Pelodiscus sinensis: one gene and its partner. The protein of the gene in region 2 purifies or fractionates together with the protein of the main gene of each other region. This does not show direct contact. Links are inferred from orthologs where the notes say so. Each region holds a gene or a part of one and is shown on either strand. Other genes may lie near its edges.

The links.
Region 1: the proteins of BICD2 (region 2) and DYNC1I1 purify together in Homo sapiens (affinity purification with western blotting; 4 studies listed by BioGRID and IntAct, with this or other methods). This does not show direct contact. The link is inferred for Pelodiscus sinensis from reciprocal best matches to the Homo sapiens genes BICD2 and DYNC1I1.

The regions. Positions count from the first base shown.
Region 1 is NC_134712.1:211,286,774-211,296,235, forward strand, and holds the start of DYNC1I1 (cytoplasmic dynein 1 intermediate chain 1), read right to left. Parts: upstream 3,825-9,462; 5' UTR 3,692-3,824; intron 1-3,691. UniProt on the Homo sapiens protein: Acts as one of several non-catalytic accessory components of the cytoplasmic dynein 1 complex that are thought to be involved in linking dynein to cargos and to adapter proteins that regulate dynein function.
Region 2 is NC_134721.1:31,013,575-31,022,985, forward strand, and holds the start of BICD2 (protein bicaudal D homolog 2), read left to right. Parts: upstream 1-5,572; 5' UTR 5,573-5,952; coding exon 5,953-6,192; intron 6,193-9,411. UniProt on the Homo sapiens protein: Acts as an adapter protein linking the dynein motor complex to various cargos and converts dynein from a non-processive to a highly processive motor in the presence of dynactin.

The DNA of each region.
Region 1 (9,462 bases), on a different chromosome or scaffold from region 2:
AACTAGGCAAATATAACTTAGATAGGGCCACGATAAGGTGGGTGCATAATTGGCTGGATAACCGTAGTCAGAGAGTGGTTGTTAACGGTTCTAAATCCTGCTGGAAAGGGATAACAAGTGGAGTTCCTCAAGGGTCTGTTTTGGGACCCATACTGTTCAATATCTTCATCAATGATGTAGATATTGGGATAGAGAGTACGCTTATTAAGTTTGCAGATGATACCAAACTGGGTGGGGTTGCGACTTCTTTGGAGGATAGGGACATAATTCAGAATGACCTTAGCAAGTTAGAGAAATGGTCGGAGGTAAACAGGATGAGGTTTAATAGAGAGAAATGCAAAGTGCTCCACTTAGGAAGGAACAATCAGTTCCATACATACAAGATGGGAAGCGACTGTCTAGGAAGGAGCATGGCAGAAAGGGATCTAGGGGTCATAGTGGACCACAAGTTGAATATGAGTCAACAGTGTGATGCTGTTGCAAAAAAAGCAAATATGATTCTAGGTTGTATTAACAGGTGTGTTGTAAGCAAAACTCGTGAAGTCATTCTGCCGCTCTACTCTGCACTAGTTAGGCCTCAGCTGGAGTACTGTGTCCAGTTCTGGGCGCCACATTTCAAGAAAGATGTGGAGAAATTGGAAAGGGTACAGAGAAGAGCGACAAGAATGATTAAAGGTTTAGAGAACATGACCTATGAAGCCAGGCTTCATGAACTGGGCTTGTTTAGTTTGGAAAAAAGAAGATTAAGGGGGGACATGATAGCGGTTTTCAAATATCTAAAAGGGTGTCACAAGGAGGAAGGAGAAAATTTGTTCCTCTTGGTTTCTGAGGACAGGACAAGGAGTAATGGGCTTAAAGTGCAGCAGGGGAGGTTTAGATTGGACATTAGGAAAAAATTCCTAACTGTCAGGGTGGTCAAATATTGGAATAAATTGCCAAGGGAGGTGGTGGAATCTCCCTCTCTGGAGATATTTAAGAACAGGTTAGATAGACATCTGTCAGGGATGGTGTAGACGGAGCTTGATCCTGCCTTGAGGGCAGGGGGCTGGACTCGATGACCTCTCGAGGTCCCTTCCAGTCCTATGATTCTATGATTCTATGATTCTACAGTCCCATTTGACCAGCTGCTTCATGTTCCACTAGAGAACACAGAGAAGGGAAGGCACTGAGTTGTTAGGAGTCAAGTGGGCTGAACCCGCCTGCACCTAGAAGTGGCAGGTGCCTGAGTGGAATCTGCCCTGCTACAACAGCCCTTCAGGTAGCAAGGCCAAATGGAAGGCAGAAATCTGGAGGGGCAAGTGACCCCATCTGTTCACCCCACATGTCACCTCTGACTCCTAGTGCAGACCTTGGCTAAGTTTCCCTCCACAGTCCCATCTCTCGGTGTTTGCAAAGAAACCCTTGAAAATGTAAAAGAAGTGCCAGCCTGACTGCATTAGCAGAGAGCCTGAAACAATAGATCTGACAAGTGTGACCTGCTCCATTCATGTCGAGGGTATTTCCTCAACATACTCAATGCTGATACCTCAAATATCAGCATCTACTTCTAAGGTCAGTCGTATCATGAAGATCTACACAAGCTTGAGTGCACCTACACTTTTACCACCCAGCTACCATTTTCCCACAGCCATTGTAACCCCACCTCTTCCTGGGTCTCTCTCTACTGCAGCTGTCCTTAGAAAGCAGGTTCTCACAGTTTGGGGAGGAAAGCAGGAAAGGTAATTCAGATTCAGGCTATATTAACTTGTGTTGGTGTCTACTACTCTTTATGTGCAGTAGAGTCCACAGGAAAGCAGCTGGTCCCACCGTGTGCTTCTCTCTACACTCCACAGAGCCCTCCTGGGACACTTTTATGGGTTGAAGGGAAGTGGAAGGGAATGTGTCACAGAGGTAGAACTCCACTGAGAAGTTTGGCTTTTTAAATGGTGAAAAATGTATGCAGTGAGGACAGCCCCCATGATCCAGGGGTAACATGCTGGATCTGGGTATGAGCTTGTTCCCTTGGGAGCACAGCAGATGCTCCCCGAGGCAGAATTTCAGCCCTTGGGGGAGCTGACACTCCAAATTGTGATTGAGTAACCCACTCTTGCTCAGGCTCAGAGGAACAGCACTGAGCTTTATTGCTCCCCGTTGAGGATTTTGGGGGCAGGGTGAAAGGTGTTCCTGTTTGGACTTCTGAGCATGAAAGGGCAATTAAAAGTGAGTAAGTAAGATTTGGAAGGTGCCGCCTCTGGAAGGAGCATATCCCATTTTCTTAAAAAGGTGGCATGTTAGAAACAGGTGAATAACAATGACAGAAATCCATCCAGTAGCATTGGTAACATTTTCACCCCTGACAAAGGGTGAATTGCACTATAGAAAAGTTGAGCCTGTTCTCTAGGTCATTTTGTTTCCTCACATGTAAAGGAAATCTAAGAAAAAGATCGTCAAGATAAATTACTAGGTGCAAGTGTCCAAAGCCTAGCACATGTCAGGCCTTTCCACTACATCCCTAGTATGCATTAGGTTACAATATTTTGATCTGTTTAGATTCTATAGGCCATAAAGTATTGAAGGTAGAAGATCTTGACTCTGTATTAATATTAACCAATCATATGCTACTTCAGTCTGGTTTTCCACACTGGATCTTAAAAGTGATACTGGTAAATGAAAATGAATCCAAGGCACAGGGAAAAAATGGCTTTCATACCAGGGCAAGGCCTGAGATAATTTAAAAGTGTGGGTTTCTTGTCTTTTGAGAGGGTTCTGGATAGAGTATTACTGCATGGCACATTTGTTATATCTATGCTTTTCCAATCAATAATATATATGGTGCCTACTGATCTTCAGCTACACCAGACTAACAGGGCTACATTTCTATCACTGCTGATCTTAGGGAATTCCGGGCAGAGGATGGACATAGCTATAAAAGCATTTTATTGAGAAATTGATTTAAACTCACTAATCATAGGAAAATGGCCTCTCAGTCCATCCTTTATTAACCCTGCTGTGAAACTAGCGATAAGGGAAGATTGAATATTAATTCTGCAGGCCGAGGTGGATTTAAGTAAGTCCGTGGTTGCTTTTATTAAACAGGAAATTAAACACAGGAACCGGCTTTGATTTAACCTCTTCAGAGCTGACACGAAAACCAAGCACCATAGCCTCTCCTCTCCTCTCCACCCCACCCCGCCTAGTAGGAGGCACCTGCTCTGACGATGCACTAATAGGAATGGGCATGGCTGTAAACTGGGACGAGACCAGGGAGACAGGCGAGAGGGCTGGTGAAACGCTCTGGGAGGCCAGCTAGTGCATCCCCCCGCTAGCAGGTCTGGTCTCTCTAGTTTGAAAGGTGCCGGGCTTTGTCCAGACGGAGCGAGGACCCTCCGATTTAGGAGAGCGTCACTCAGCTGCGGTCACCAGAGCACTTTGCATCCTGTCAGCAACCGCAGAGCGGTCCCGAGCTGTTTCCTATGGGGGGGGGGGCGTTTTCAGTGCCTGTCTTCCCCGCCCTTTTCCATGCAGGCTGGCTGCTTTCTCCAGTGCTAGAAAAGCCGAGCAAAGAGAGAGCGTTTCTCGGCCCCCTGCCCCCTGCCAGCTTTTACACTCGGCATCCCGGGCGCGTCCTTCCCCACCTCAGAGCACCAGGCTCGGGCAGGTGACGCTGCGGGTGGTACCCCCAGAGACACGCGCCTCCCTCCACAGGCTTTACCTTGCTGGGCTCCCGGGCAGCTGTGGAGCGGTTCGGCGCAGCGCTCCCCGGCCAGGGCAGCTGGGAGGAGGTGGACAGAGCCCGGCGCTCCCCGGCAGGTTGACTCCCCAATGGCTGCTGCCGCTGCGCTGTGTGGTGGTGCCCCTCTCTGCAGCGTGATCGCTGCTGCTGCGGCTGGGGAAATGCGCTGCCTCGCGCTGGCCAAGCTCCTCCCGGGCACCGCCGCTTCCCTCCTCCTCCTCGCCCCTGGCACTGACATCTCCCCGCCTCCCTGCAGCCCAGCCCCGCGCATCTTCAGCGAGAGAGGCAGCCCCTCCCCGAGACACACTCACGGGGGGCGGCGGGAGGGGGCGGTAGCTATCCCTGCCAGGCCCTGGCGCTAGGGACTCGGGGGGGGGGGGGGGGCGGAGGGCAAAAGGGACCGGGGAAAGTGTCACATTCAGGAGCATCAGGGTCATTTGTGCTGCTCGAGTCAGTAGCACAAGTCACATCCAGGCTGACACAGGGACACCTAGTCTGCAACTTGAGTGGAAAGGCCCCATTAGTCATGCCTATGACAGGCACCAGGGCTGCCCACCATTTCAAAGCAGGAGAGTTAGGCCACACCCAGCCTGTGTCATTGGGAAGGGGCACATCCTGTCAGTGACCCCAAATATTACAGGAAACTCAAAAGAACATATGTTTGCCCTACAATACAAAGGCACAAGGGCAAATGGGGCAGAAGAATTTGCTGCATCTGGCACACAGCTTGAAGAATGTCCACATCCAGACCCCAGCACAAAGGCATCAGAGGCTCACCGTGCCCCCTACTAGTTAGTCACATTCAGCTGGGCTGCACCAAATCACAAACCTCACCTACAAAAACAAAGCTTTGCAGAGGGACTGAGGTAGGCCAGTTGCTGTTGAAGGCACAGTGGTCCCCAATTGGAGCAAGGTAGCAAATATCACACACCCCACAGATTCTCTCTTTCCTTTAAGTTCTCCTAAAAGCTATTGTGCCTTGGACAGGAAGACCTGGAAATAGGCTTTAGTTAAGATATGAAATATAAGTACCAAGCTGAGGTGCCTCAATTTTGGGGTGTTCAACTTGAGACACCATCTGAAGAGCAGAACCCTTTTTGCTGCTTCCTTCTTCAGAAGCTGTCCAGGAATAGGGTCAAAGTGGTCTTTTACTGTCATGCCATGTTCCTGAATGGACAAAGCCAGACCATTTCATCATGATAGCAGTAGAGAAATATCTGTCTACTTTTATTGTTATTATGGTAACACTGAAGATGTATTAGGCATTTGTCAAAAACAGGAAAACCAAGTCCACACTCTTTGGTCTTCCAGGTCAAAGATGTAGTGTTTAGTGACACTTTACTGGCCATTTCAAAAGATACATGATACATTATTAACCTAAATGCTGTTATATATTTTTTTGAAATGCCATTATATTTGTTACAAATTAATACAATTCCATGTTTCAGCAATTGCTCACACCACACTTCCTTAAAACCACAATACACCCTGGCTACGTATAGACTACATCCCATTTTCGTAAAAGGGATGTAAATTAGATGTATCGCAATTGCTAATGAAGCGGGGATTTAAATCTCCAGTGCTTCATTAGCAAAAAAATGGCTGCCGCTTTTTTTTTGGCACGGAGCTTTGCCAGAGAAAAGCACCAGTCTAGATGCTGATCTTTCAGAAAATAAAGCCTTTTACAAAAGATCTCTTATCCCTTATTTCAAGAGGGATAAGGGATCTTTCAGAAAAGGCTTTATTTCCCGAAACATCAGCGTTTAGACTGGCGCTTTTCTCCGGCAAAGCTCCTTGCCGAAAAAAAGCAGCAGCCATTTTTATGCTAATGAAGCATGGGAGATTTAAATCCCCGCTTCATTAGCAATTGTGATACGTCTAATTTACATCCCTTTTACGAAAAAGGGATGTAGTCTAGACGTAGCCCCTCAATCCCCATAGAGATGCACTTTTTTATATGTCCTACCCCTGTGCTTCAGCATAGGGACATGTGCTACATCCAGGTCAGTTGGGGCACATCTACACAGCAGAGCTAAACTAGCTAATTGTGTAGCTTAAGTCAAAATAATTTATTTCAACTTTTGGTGCCGTCTACACAGCAGTTATTTCAAAATAGAGTACTCTTCCCCCAACTTCCCTTCCTCCTCATACAATGAGGGTTACAGGAGTCGGAGTAAGAAGTCCTCCAGCTCAACATTATTTCTACATTATGTCTAAATAATTGCTTGTGTGTAGATGCAGACTATGTTATTTTGGAATAGCATAAGTTATTCCAAAATAATGCTGCTGTGTTGACATAGCCTTGGAATAGGAAGTGGTTACATCAAGTCTATAGCTTCATTGTTAGATGACACTTACTCTATCCTAACGATGCCACAATTCAATGTCAAAAGGGAAGGTACAGAAGAAAACAAATTAATAAATAGCAACAGGTTGCCAGTGAAGTCAGTAGGGGTATGTCTACACTACCCCGCTAGTTCAAATTAGCGGGGTAATGTAGGCATACCGCAATTTGCATACGCCGAGTGCCGCCATTTTTAAATCCCGGCTGGTTCGAACCCCGTGCCACACGGCTACACGCGGCACGAACTACCGTTACTCCTCGTGGAATGCCTACCTAGTTCGTGCCGCGTGTAGCTGCGCGGCACGGGGTTCGAACCAGCCGGGATTTAAAAATGGCAGCACCCGGCTTATGCAAATGAAGCCCGGGAAATTCAAATCCCGGGCTTCATTTGCAATTGCGGTATGCCTACATTACCCTCCTATTTCGAAATAGGAGGGTAGTGTAGACATACCCCTATAGGAGTCTATCATACAAAATTTTGAAAGGAACTTTAAGAATAAAATTGCTTATGTATAATAAAACAGCTATTATATTGAGGGATGGAGAGAAATAAATGTTGTTGTTGTGCCTATCTTTACAAAGGTACTTTAGGGGTGCTCCTGGGAATTACCAAACCTAGGAACCAGTCAGAAACCTGTAAAATTAATCAACGCAGTGAGCCCTCTACTCCTTGTGCTCTCTGATTTCTTACCTTCTCTACCTCTGCACAATATGGCTTGTCATTTTTGTTGAATTCATGATCTAATTTAGACTACAAGCTCTAAAGGAGAGTCAAGAAAACATTATTAATAATATCTATTTCAGCATCAATTCATAACAAACAATACATTTTTCATCATCACCCACAGTCTGTCCCAATTCTGTATCTTCACTTTTAATTAATACCTGTAAAATTTTGCAAGTAGTTATGTTCAGCCATGTGATATTAGACAATCATTTAGCTAAATAATTAATGATGTCTAAGGTGACTATGCAATAGGAGAGATGCCAGGTTCTTAAAGTTCCCTGAATTCTAAATTTCTCGACTTCTGAGTTCAAACAGCAGTGGTTTTAGGCCTTTAAATGTATTTTTAGGTCAGCATTTTGAAGCAAGATAATGAATCTTCAGAAATGGATGAATCATAGAACCATAGAGCTGGAAGAGACCTCAGAAGGTCATCAAGTCCAGCCCCCTGCCCTAGGCAGGACCAGTCCCAACTAAATCAACCCAGCCAGGGCTTTGTCAAGCTGAGACTTAAAAATCTCTAGGGATGGAGACTCCACTACTTCCCTAGGTAACCTATTCCAGTGCTTCACCACTCTCCTAGTAAAATAGTTTTTCCTAATATCCAACCTGGACCTCTCCCACCTCAACTTGAGAGATCTGAGATGTTGTACTCCATCCAAAAGAGGGCAATGACAGAAATATGAATAATAGCCAGTATATTAAAACACTTCTCATTCCCTTTGTCACACAAATCTGAGATTTAGGTACAAGCTTGGCCAAAGCATATGTAAATATAATGTAAAAAAATGCACTGTAATAAAATGATTAAACCTCCAGGCTACGTCTACACTGGCCCCTTTTCCGGAAGGGACATGTAAATTTCAGCAGTCGTCGTAGGGAAATCCGCGGGGGATTTAAATATCCCCCGCGGCATTTAAATAAAAATGTCCGCCGCTTTTTTCCCGCTTTTAAAAAAGCCGGAAAAGAGCGTCTACACTGGCCCCGATCCTCCGGAAAAAGCGCCCTTTTCCGGAGGCTCTTATTCCTACTTCAAAGTAGGAATAAGAGCCTCCGGAAAAGGGCGCTTTTTCCGGAGGATCGGGGCCAGTGTAGACGCTCTTTTCCGGCTTTTTTAAAAGCCGGAAAAAAGCGGCGGACATTTTTATTTAAATGCCGCGGGGGATATTTAAATCCCCCGCGGATTTCCCTACGACGACTAGTGAAATTTACATGCCCCTTCCGGAAAAGGGGCCAGTGTAGACGTAGCCCCAATGTCTGTCTATATCCCATTCTCTATCACATGCACACTTGTAAAATATAAATGATACGGTCATGTGTGGAAGGTCCAACATTTGATTGTTTCTTATATTTATGAAGTCCATATACAACTATATTTTAAAATGAATAATAATTTGACAATCTTTTTTACAGTTTATTACTGTAGTTTGTTGAAATACTAAATATTAATGAAAAAAAATCACATTAGGTTATTATGATAAACAATGTGATACACAGCAACAGTTGACCCAACAACCTCTTTATGCTATATGGGAGAGGGCACGAGGTTACAATGATCCTCGAGTCTCGTGTTTATATATTAGTGCTACAAAAAGTGTCATGTGAGATCTCTAACAAAAGCCAGTGATATAATGGTCACCATAATCACTGCAGGATGCATGGGAGGATAATATGTAAGATTATAACACATAATCAGTCTCTGTCTACAAGGCCTTAACATCATAACTTCATATATACATATTACACATTAAGTTATATGTTAAGCCCTTAGGGTACGTCTACACTACAGCGCTAGTTCGAACTAAGCTAATTCGAACTAACGCGTCTAGAACTAAAAACTAGTTCGAATTAGCGTTTTGCTAATTCGAACTAGCAAGTCCACATTGAGTGGACTCTGAACAGGGCTTAAGGATGGCCGGAAGCAGTGCCGGCAGGGCATAAGAGGAGGACTTAGAGCATGGAGATGCTGTCTCAGGCTAGCCGAGGGCTGCGCTTAAAGGGTCCCGACCCCCACCCCGGACACACAGTTCTAAGGGGTGCCCCACTTGCAAAGAAGTTCTGGCTTGGAGTGCCCGGAGTACCCACACTGGGCACATCACACCACTCGGCCATCAGCCCGGCTGCACTTGCCGCAGGCTGCCATCTGGGGAGAGGGGGCAATTGGGGGGCTGCAGGAGAGCTTCCACCCCCAGAAGCCCGCAGAGCCAGCCCAGTCCTCCCCATCGGGGGCTCGTACCCCATTCCTCCCTCACCTCCTTCCACTTACCCTTCCCTAGCCCCCCTTCTTATTGATGTACAAAATAAAGATAACATTTCTTCCAACATTGACTCTGTCTTTATTGAACAAAACTGGGGGAGACCGGGAAAAGGAGGTGGGAAAGGGGAAGAGAAAGGCTGGGAGAGGGGAGGGCAACTAACATGATCAGGGGTTGGGAACAGGTCCCAGATGAAGAGAGGCTACAGAGACTGGGACTGTTCAGCTTAGAAAAGAGGAGATGGAGCGGAGACAGAATAGAGGTCTTTAAAAGCAGGGGTTGGGTGGAGAGGGTGCATTCAGAAAAGTTCTTCATAAGTTTCCATAAAGAAGGACTAGAGGACACCAAAGGAAAGGAATGGGTAGCAGGCTTCAAACTAGTAAGAGAAAGTTGTTCTTCTTCACAAAGCAAATAGTTAACCTGTGGA
Region 2 (9,411 bases):
TCCTTGTTTCCATTGACCAAGCTGTGTCTGCCATGGGTTAGGTTGATCTAATTAGGCTCCAAAGAATGTGACATTTTTCACTGCCCTGAACGAAGTAGCTAGGTCAGTCTGAGTTTTAGATGTCTCAGAGGAGTAGCCATGTTAGTCTCGAAGGCGCTATAGGACCATTCAATGTTTGTTAAGTATTTTTAGTTACAGACTAACCAAAAAATATAGGTGATATTATGAGCTTTGGTGAGTACAACCCACTTTTTCAGATGACAAATATGGAGCAAGGAGTACAAATATATAGCAGAAAAAGAGAGAAGAGGAGGAGAGGAAAAACCTGTCAATTAAAGTGTCTATGCTAAATAAGTCTAACAGAGTGGGCTGTGAGTGCCCGATACTTAACTTGGGATGTCATTTGGGTGTGGAATATAATGGCCCACCCAAGACAAGTCTTTGCTCAATCCTTGGGTGAATGTGTCAAATAACAAGGGTGGCAGGGTATGAAAACAGCGGCAAGTCATGTGTAGCAGTTCTACTCCGGGACTTTCATGTTCCCTGGGCCAAATTTTGATCTCACAGTGGTATAGATATGGAGCATGTCTAATAAAATCAAAGGAGTTAGTAACATCAGCTTATAACACTGGTGTAAGATCAGCAGCAGTTTGGTTGCATGTAGTGCATGCAATGGGGGGTTTAAAGGAGCATCGCATATGAAGAATTGACATGAATTTAGAGGAAAAATAACGGAGTGTATAAAAGGATAGGTTTTGGCTGTTAAGGGTGTGTGAGGTTTTCTAAATTAAGTCAGATACATACAGGTTTGCTGTTAACACAGAACTCAAGGCATTTTGAAACTTGAAAACTAAAGGAATATTCGTTAACTGCAGCAGACTGTTTACATGAAACTTTTGTTTGTCATCTTCAGGCAAATTTGTTACAGGGAAGAGAATTTAGGCATTACCTCACTGTATTCACATGTCAAATTCAGCCTCTCTAGATGAGCCGTGCAGAGTTTGGATTGGCACAAGCTCCTCAACAACACATTAGCCTTGTAGTCATGAAGCCACCAAGCTAACTTCAGACATTAAAATACTTTATTAAAGAGGCATGTTTTTATATGTACCAAGGTGGATTTGGATGAACGTAGGTACTTAGAAGATTAAAGCAGCCTGAAAAAGCCCTAGAGCTGTAGGCACTGCCCATGTAATGTACTATGTTCTAATCCTCATGTGTGCTCAGACAGGTAATTGTTTTTCATTATGTTTGGCATTTACCTGCCAATTCAATACCAATAAAATCTGAGCTGGGCCTGCTGCAGTAAAGGAACGTCAGGCAAGATCTGAAGCTGACATGCAGAGGGCAAAATAGTGCTCTCAGTTATGCACAGGGCATAACATTTTTCACAGCTCGGATGATGTATCTAGGTCAATATACGTTTTTGTTGTAGGCCAGGCCTATGAGCAGAATGTGGTCAGGACAGTTAGCCCTACATCACGGCTTATAAATTAATTCTACTTATTGTGGAAAAGTAATTACGGCATTCACTGTGTCCTGTTTACTCTTTTTGGTAACCATCATACTTTTATTCATGTACTTATTGCGGCATCTTCTGTGGGGTAAGGTCAGTGAGGACTGTCCTTCCATTGTTGCCAGCTACTCTTCTTGCCTTTGTGGGGTACTGGCATCGATGGGCGAGCACCTGGAGATTGATGTATTGCATCTGAGCAGATGTGATAAATCAATAACCAATGGATCAACCATTGTAGCATCAATCCCCAGCATAGTAGAGACAAGCCCTTAGATACTTATATAGCTCTCCACATTCCTGTAGTGCCTGAGCACTCTACACTCTTCAATGCATTTATCCTAATATTAATCCTGTCATAAGCCATTATTCCCAGTTGGGGGATGGGGAACTGTTAGATGGAGCCACTGACTTGGGAGAGATGAAACAATGGAAAAGGAAGAGATCTCCAATCTTCCTTAGGCACATGGAGGATTTACTGGGCACAATCATCATGGGTATGTCTACACTACCACCCTAGTTTGAACTAGGGTGGTTAATGTAGGCAACTGGAGTTGCAAATGAAGCCCGGGATTTGAATTTCCCGGGCTTCATTTGCATATTGCTGGGCGCCGCCAAAATGTCCACTAGTTCGGACTCCGTACCCGCGGCTACACGCGGCACGAACTAGGTAGCTCGGATTAGGTTTCCTATTCTGAACTACTGGTACACCTTGTTCCACGAGGAGTAACGGTAGTTCGGAATAGGAAGCCTAATCTGAACTACCTAGTTCGTGCCGCGTGTAGCCGCGGGCACGGAGTCCAAACTAGCGGACATTTAAAAATGGCGGCACCCGGCAATATGCAAATGAAGCCCGGGAAATTCAAATCCCGGGTTTCATTTGCAACTCCGGTTGCCTACATTAACCACCCTAGTTCAAACTAGGGTGGTAGTGTAGACATACCCCACATTACTCTAGGTGGGGAAAATTATGGCAAGATGTTTGCTTTCATCTTGTAATTTACTTGCTACCTCATTCTTATGGCCACCCCTGTGCAAAATGGTAAGAGGTCCCCTCCCCTCAGTACTCTGCCAAGTGGCGAATGGTACTCAGTCCTGTGTAGCCATGACACTGTCCTCATCAGCTGTTACTGCTGTTTCTTCCTCCATGCAGCTGGCTGTGATGTTCTCTGGTTTCTGGTGCTCCATCCAAAAAAGATCAAGAAGCCAGGAGATAGCTGATAGCTAGGGAAGAATGCTAAGGAATTCATTCTCTGCCATCACTAGCTGATGCTAATGTTAGATGATGTTGGGCCATTGAGGCTGAAACTCTGGCTGGCAGTTAGGTGTGCAAATGTGGTGAGTGGCCAGTGAAAATCCTGAGCCATATTCACAGCTTCATAGGTCTAAATATGCTACTGCTATGGTGAAATACTAATCATGAACTAATAACTGTACAAAGTATTTAACAAAATTATACCGAGCAAGTAAGATCTTGTAACTTCTGCAAATGTGCATTGCTTATAAAATTCCTTTCCTCTGCATTCTAGTCAGTTGCAAGCCTGGTCTCAATAATACATCTTATGTCACTTACATAGCAAGTTGATTTAGGCCCCACTCCAGCAAATAATTTAAGCATGTGCATAGCTTTAAATGTGAGGAGTTCTATTAAATTCTATGGACTGACTCGTGATTAAAGTTATGCATGTGCTCAGGTGCTTTGCTGGATCTGTATCTTTGAGACAACATAAAGTTTGGTCATGTGTTCACCTTCCCTCATTCATCTTAACTCCCGTATGTCCTTCTGAAAATCTGTAAATAACGATAGTAAAATAATAAAGATGTTAACACAAACATCTAAAAAAATATTGTGCTCCCTGCAAGCTGCTTACCTTTCCCCTTGTTTTCTGGTGTTTCCTTTCCAGCTCTACTCCATTCCACTGTCTGTTGTCATTTCCCCTTTTGTGCTTATCTATTTAGACTGTAAATGCCTGGAAGCCAGAACCTGCTTTCTTATTTATCTGCCCAGCACCATGCTCATCAGTGACTCTACATAAAGAAATAAACAAGCTGAGTGAAAGAAGAATTATACAAAGACCCCAAAGGTAGCAATGTAATTGCCATGACTACCTCATAAACAAGTAGGGTTGCCAGATATTTTCACAAAAAAATACTGAAAAAAATTGGTTGAGGAAAAAAAAGAAAAAGAAAAAGAAACCCCCAAACAAACAAAAAACAAACAAAAAAAACTGGGGGACCAGTATGTTCTGTTTTTTTTTTTTTACTGGACAGAGTCCACAAATACCAGACACCTGGCAACCCTATAAACAAGTGCCCCCCAAGTCAATAATAAATACCTTTACTTTTTAATTTCAAATGACAACATCAGCAAGCATGACAGTTCAGTTATAAATATAGGGAGGAATCTATAGCAACATTAGAAGATCAACAAAAACAATTAGAGGTCTAGAGAAAATATGACCTATATCTGAGGAAAGTCAAAAAGAATTGGATTTGTTTAGTTTGGAAAAGAGAATACTGAGAGATGACATGATAGCAGCTTTCAAATATTTAAAAAGGTGCTATAAGGAGGAGGGAGAAAAAAATAGGTCCAAATCCAGGCAAGCCAGGGGCTACATCCAAACCCCAGGCCTCAGATTCCACACCCCTAATCTAGATAGAGGTAGGTCCTGCCATGAGGGCAGGGAACTGGACTTGACCTTTTGAGGTCCCTTCCAGTTCTAGTATTCTATGATTAAAGGTACTCCTACTTGAGTGAAAGCCTTACAGTACAACTGTTGAAACTATTCCTTGTAACTAGTTAATGCTATCAGAATGCTATAGATCACTTTTAGTTTTTTTAACAATGAAAGAAACAAAGCCAGCACCCTGAAGAAGCATGCATAGTATGCAAGAGCAAACACATGCTTCCATTGTTGCAACCTTTGTTCTCTCTCCTCCCCCCATTCTTTGTAGCCTTCTCTCTTTGTTACTTCTTATCTTCTAGTTAGTAGGCTCTTTAAACCCTTTCTTAAGTACATAGTATTCATTCAGGCAAACATTACCTTTTACTTCACTGGGACTAAGGAGTGAACGGTTTCAGGGGTGGAGAACCTCAGGCCTTGTAGCCAGATGCTCCCCCCCCCCCACTTGCCTGGATCCTGCTCCCCTCAGGGCTGGAGCACACAAAATCTACTAAGCTTGGCCTCCCAAGATTCTGGTGTGCAAGGGGAATGTCTTTCTCCTTCTGAGTTGGCAGCCACTGTCAGTGAGGGTTTTGTTTTTGTTTCTCACTTGTGTGCTGCCCCTGACTGATTTTTGTGTGGGTCAGTGACCCCCAAACCCAAAAAAGTCCCCCACCTCTAACTTTACAGGCTTATGCAAGACCTTGATCCTGGAAAGACCTATACATATTACAAGTTGCATCGACTTCAGTATGTACTAGCACATGCCTAAATCCATGTCCCAGGTCCCCAAAAGATGTATTGTCTTTTGGCTGAGACAATACTGGGTTTTATTTGTAAAGTGCCATACACAACAACAGCACTGTATACACCAATCAATGAATAAATCAACACAGAACTACAACAAAGAAGTCAAACAGATGAATATGACCGATGGTGATGAAAATATTTTTGGGGGAGGGGCGGGGGGAGAGAGGTTTTGTCCTGTTCTGTTTAAAAGCCAGAGGGCTGCGAGTTATATACTAAGTTCACTTCCAATCACAGACAATGAGTCCGATTCCCAAAGCTATTTAACTGCCCAACTTCTGCTGATTTCACTTGAGTGGCCCCTGTTTGCAATGAACAGCAACCTACTGTATGACCTTCTGCCCCCCGCCGCAAGAATGCAGCCACCTATGTGTAACGCAGCCTGTAGGGGTCACTGTCACAAGTGAAAGTTGCCCTGATGCCGAAGAGGATCCTAACCCAGCCCCCGCTGCCAGCTTCTTCCCCCAGCCAGAATTCCTCCAAGAGGCTGGGCTGCCTTCCAGCTGGTCTGCCCGCCCTGTGCATTGTGGGACTCGTAGTCCTCTCCGGCGCAGGCTTGCTTGGCGCTAGGGGGAGGCGGGACTACAAGTCCTACAAGGCCCGCGGGGCAGCTGGCGCTGGCCGTTCCTTTTGAATGATTTCACTGCGCTGTGCCTGCCCAGCGCGTTTCGCAGCAGCCTGCCGGAGGAGGCAGGGAGCATGGTGTAAGGGCCGGGCGGGGAGGGGGCTGCCGCCGGGGACGAGAGCCGCCAGCCTAGCGCCCAGCCCGGTTCATGGCAGCCGGGGGAGCTGGCAGCGCCGCAGCGGGGCCAAGTTGTGCTGGCGCAGGGCGGCCCATGGCAGCCCAGCGGCTGCGGGGCTGGTAAGGGCGCTGCGTCCGTCCCCTCACTGCCCGGCTCGCCCCGCAGCCCCCCTCGCTGCGCTGCCCCGTCGGACGGGGCTGGGAGGCGCCGCGCCCGGCCGGCCGAGATGGCTCTGGCCACGGAGGAGGAGGAGTACGCCAAGCTGGTGATGGAGTCGGAGCCCGAGTGGCTGCGGAGCGAGCTCAAGCGGCTCTCGCAGGAGCTGGGCGAGACCACCCGGGAGAAGATCCAGGCGGCGGAGTACGGGCTGGCCGTGCTGGAGGAGAAGCAGCAGCTCAAGCAGCAGTACGAGGAGCTGGAGGCGGAGTACGAGACCATCCGCTCGGAGATGGAGCAGCTGAAGGAGGTGAGCCGCGGGGTGGTGGCCCGGGGTGACACGCCGGGAGTGGGCAAGGCAGGGAGCGCGGCGCAGCGGCCGCAGCACTGTGTGACTTTGGGGGGGGTCCCCTCCGCCTTGGGGGTCCCCTCAAGGTAAAGCCGCTGCGGAGCCTGGAGTGGCTCCTGGGGCGTGGTCCTCCCCCCCCCCAAAGGCACGCAGGACCGATGATGCACCCGCAGGGCTGCGGCAAGGACTGGCTGATCGCTGCCTGCCACGCAGCGGTGGAGATATGGCGGGGGCGTAGGGGATGCATCGCTCCTGGGAGCTGCTCTGGCCGGTCTGGGCGCGCGGGTGGATGTGATTCCCCCTCCCCGCGAAGTTTGGCTTCAGCTCTCGCTGGGCAGCAGCTGCGGGCTGCATCTTCCAACTGGGCTGGAGCGCAGCATCCTGCCCAGTGCGGTGTCACGGCCAGATCCGGCATCATCACGCTCATCACTGCTGGCGTAATGCTGGGCAGCCCTTTAAAGGGACAGCTCGGCAATTCCTCTAAGACCCTCTGCCCTTCCCATGACATCTGCTGTGTCTTCGCTCAGCTGGGCGCCAGGCACAGGAAAGCGGATACTTGAGGCTAATGCGCTGGAGATCAAGTGCCAGTCTGGGACTGAGTGTGCTCCGTGCAGGGGGAAAGGAATAATGGAAGTGACCGTAATTCTGTTCTTTGCTGCATAATGGTACACAGCCCAGGGCTCCCACAAAGCACCTCTTACATGAACCCAGTTCCCTGACTGTGAGGTGCAATTTGATATTGGAATCAATTTTTTCTCTCAACTTTCCCATCCCCCAGATATACACTGTTTTGTGAATTGCATTATTTCAATCTGGTTGTTTATAAACGGGATAAATATGGGGAGTGAACTATGAGTTACATTAAATAGATTTCCCCACCTAAGTACAAAGCTTTAAAATAGTATTTTATTTTAAAGCAGAAAATTTGTTGAGAGATAACTGTTAGGAGCAGGCCTTCTTATAATAGGTTGAATAATTGATATTGAAATATTGGCTACTGAGCATTCCGAGGATCCTTTCTGCACAGTGCTGAGGGGTCTCTAATAAGTTATCCTTATAAGAAACAGTCTGTAAAGACCAGCAAAGGAATGAATGGCTCTGCATGTGTAGAAATGCCATACTCGGTGCCAAAGATCCACCTACTGCTGAGCCGTTTGACACACTGTGTCAGCCATCCATGTTAGAGCTTTAATGGGACATGGAGCTTCCTGGCAACAGAGCCAAAAGTGCAGAAATAAAATAATTGGCCTTTTGAGCATTAAAGTGTAAAGCAGAGGCGTGTCAGCATTAACTTGGAAATTCCTCGTTGTTGCTGGATTGCCTTAGGGCCAAGTGCAGGCCCCTAGCTTTGAAGTTCCTCACCTCACAAGTGAATGGGTCAGGGGGAGCTCTCACTTTTCCTACTGCTAATTGTTCCAGGCCCTGGAGATCATCTTCTGCAACAGTAGACTGAAGGGAAAACTTCACTTGGCATGGTGATTATAGGGTAATTACAGTGAGGTTTACTTCTTCTCCCCTATCACTCAACTAGGGGTGGGGACAGGTAAATATGCTCCTCAACCCCCCAGGCTCTGTAAACAAAGGCTGGGGAGTCCCTTAATCTTCAGCCAGCAGTGAAGAGACAAAGCACTTCTTTCCATGAGTCCAGGAGTGTTGCTCTTCATCTGTCCATGTTACAGGATGCCCGTGAGGGCAGAGAGCAGCTGTGTTCACCTATTCCTCTGGCCCGCTCAGCACCAAAGATCTAATCCTCCACAGGGTGAAAATGGAAGAGCAGAGGAGTGGAAGAGAACCAGAGAGCTATGGGAGGGCGGGCCTAGGCTGAAGTGGCATAGGCTCAGATCACATGGAGAAGCGGAGGAACTGTAAGAGGCTGGAGATCCAAGAGTGGAAAAACAGGGCTTGAGCGACCAGAACTCCTGTTGAGGGGGGACCAGGTACCTAGGAGAGTAGGGATCGAGCTCCTGCAGAAAGGATTTCTCAGTGCTCATTTGAAAGTATGGAGTTCCTGGGGATGTAGAGGGAATGAGGTGGAAGGGCATATGATGCAATGCAGGGCAGTGAGGAAGAGCATACAGATGCTCTTGTCTGTGGCCAGACTGTATTGGGCTATCTCTCTCTCACAGGGTCCTAGAGCCAGAGCCCAGGCCCCAGCCTGGAAGTCTGCTAAGCAATGAAATGCCTGTCAGCCTGAGCCCCATGAGCCTGAGTCAGCTGGCATAGGCCAGCTAAGGGTTTGTCATTGCAGTGTAGCCATACCCAAATTTGTTTCTGTGCAGGTCTGAGCTTGTTTAAAGCAAACCCCAACTTAAGCTTTTTCCCATCAATAGGATTGTTCAGTCTCTTCATATCTCAGTCTCCTCCACCCTTGGCTCTTTTGTCCCTCTCTCCCATTGTAAGGTCTGTCCTTGCAACCCCTGGCCCTGGCTCACCTTCAACATCTGCTTCCCTCTTTCCTGCTGCTCAGTCTCTGACAATCCCATGACCAGATGGCTTATTTCCTTGTGCTCCCATCAGTCTCTCTTCATTCGTCTGTTATTGCTTGCCTTGTACTTGAATCTGGAGTTTACCTAGAACTTAGGAAAACCTAGTGATATTGTTCAGGGCTGTGAAAAATTTCACATGCTGAGTGCTTTAGTCAGGATCACCTAGCCCCCCATTTAGACATAGCTAGGAGTGATGGAAGGATTCTTCTGGTAATCTAGCTGTCACCCAGCTTGGAAAGGTGGGTTGCCATTACCTGTGTTGCTGGAAAAATTCCGACACAGCCAGCCATGGTGTTGCCATAGCATTGTATTGCAGACAGACCCGGAGACTGTAAGTTGTTTGCGGCGTTACCTGACAGGTTAACTGGTTATCCAGTTAACTACCAAACATTATTCGTAATGATTACTGATTTTGGGCTGGAGCAGCTCCACTGTCTGCCACAGGCGTCTGGAGCAGCTTCTGTCTGTGGCAGGCTCAGGCGCCCTGAAGACAGTAACTGCTCTGGAGGGGGCTGAGAGCCCCATGGGCTAAGCTGCTACTGCAGCCATGCTGGAACAGACCCCAGCCCAGATCCTACGTTAGTCAGTTAATGGGTTAAACATTAGGCTAGCCTGACTGGTTAACTGATCAACTGGGATTTTATATCCCTGGCAGAGGACTGCCTTTTCTGGTTTTGTGTGGTGCCTTGCGCTG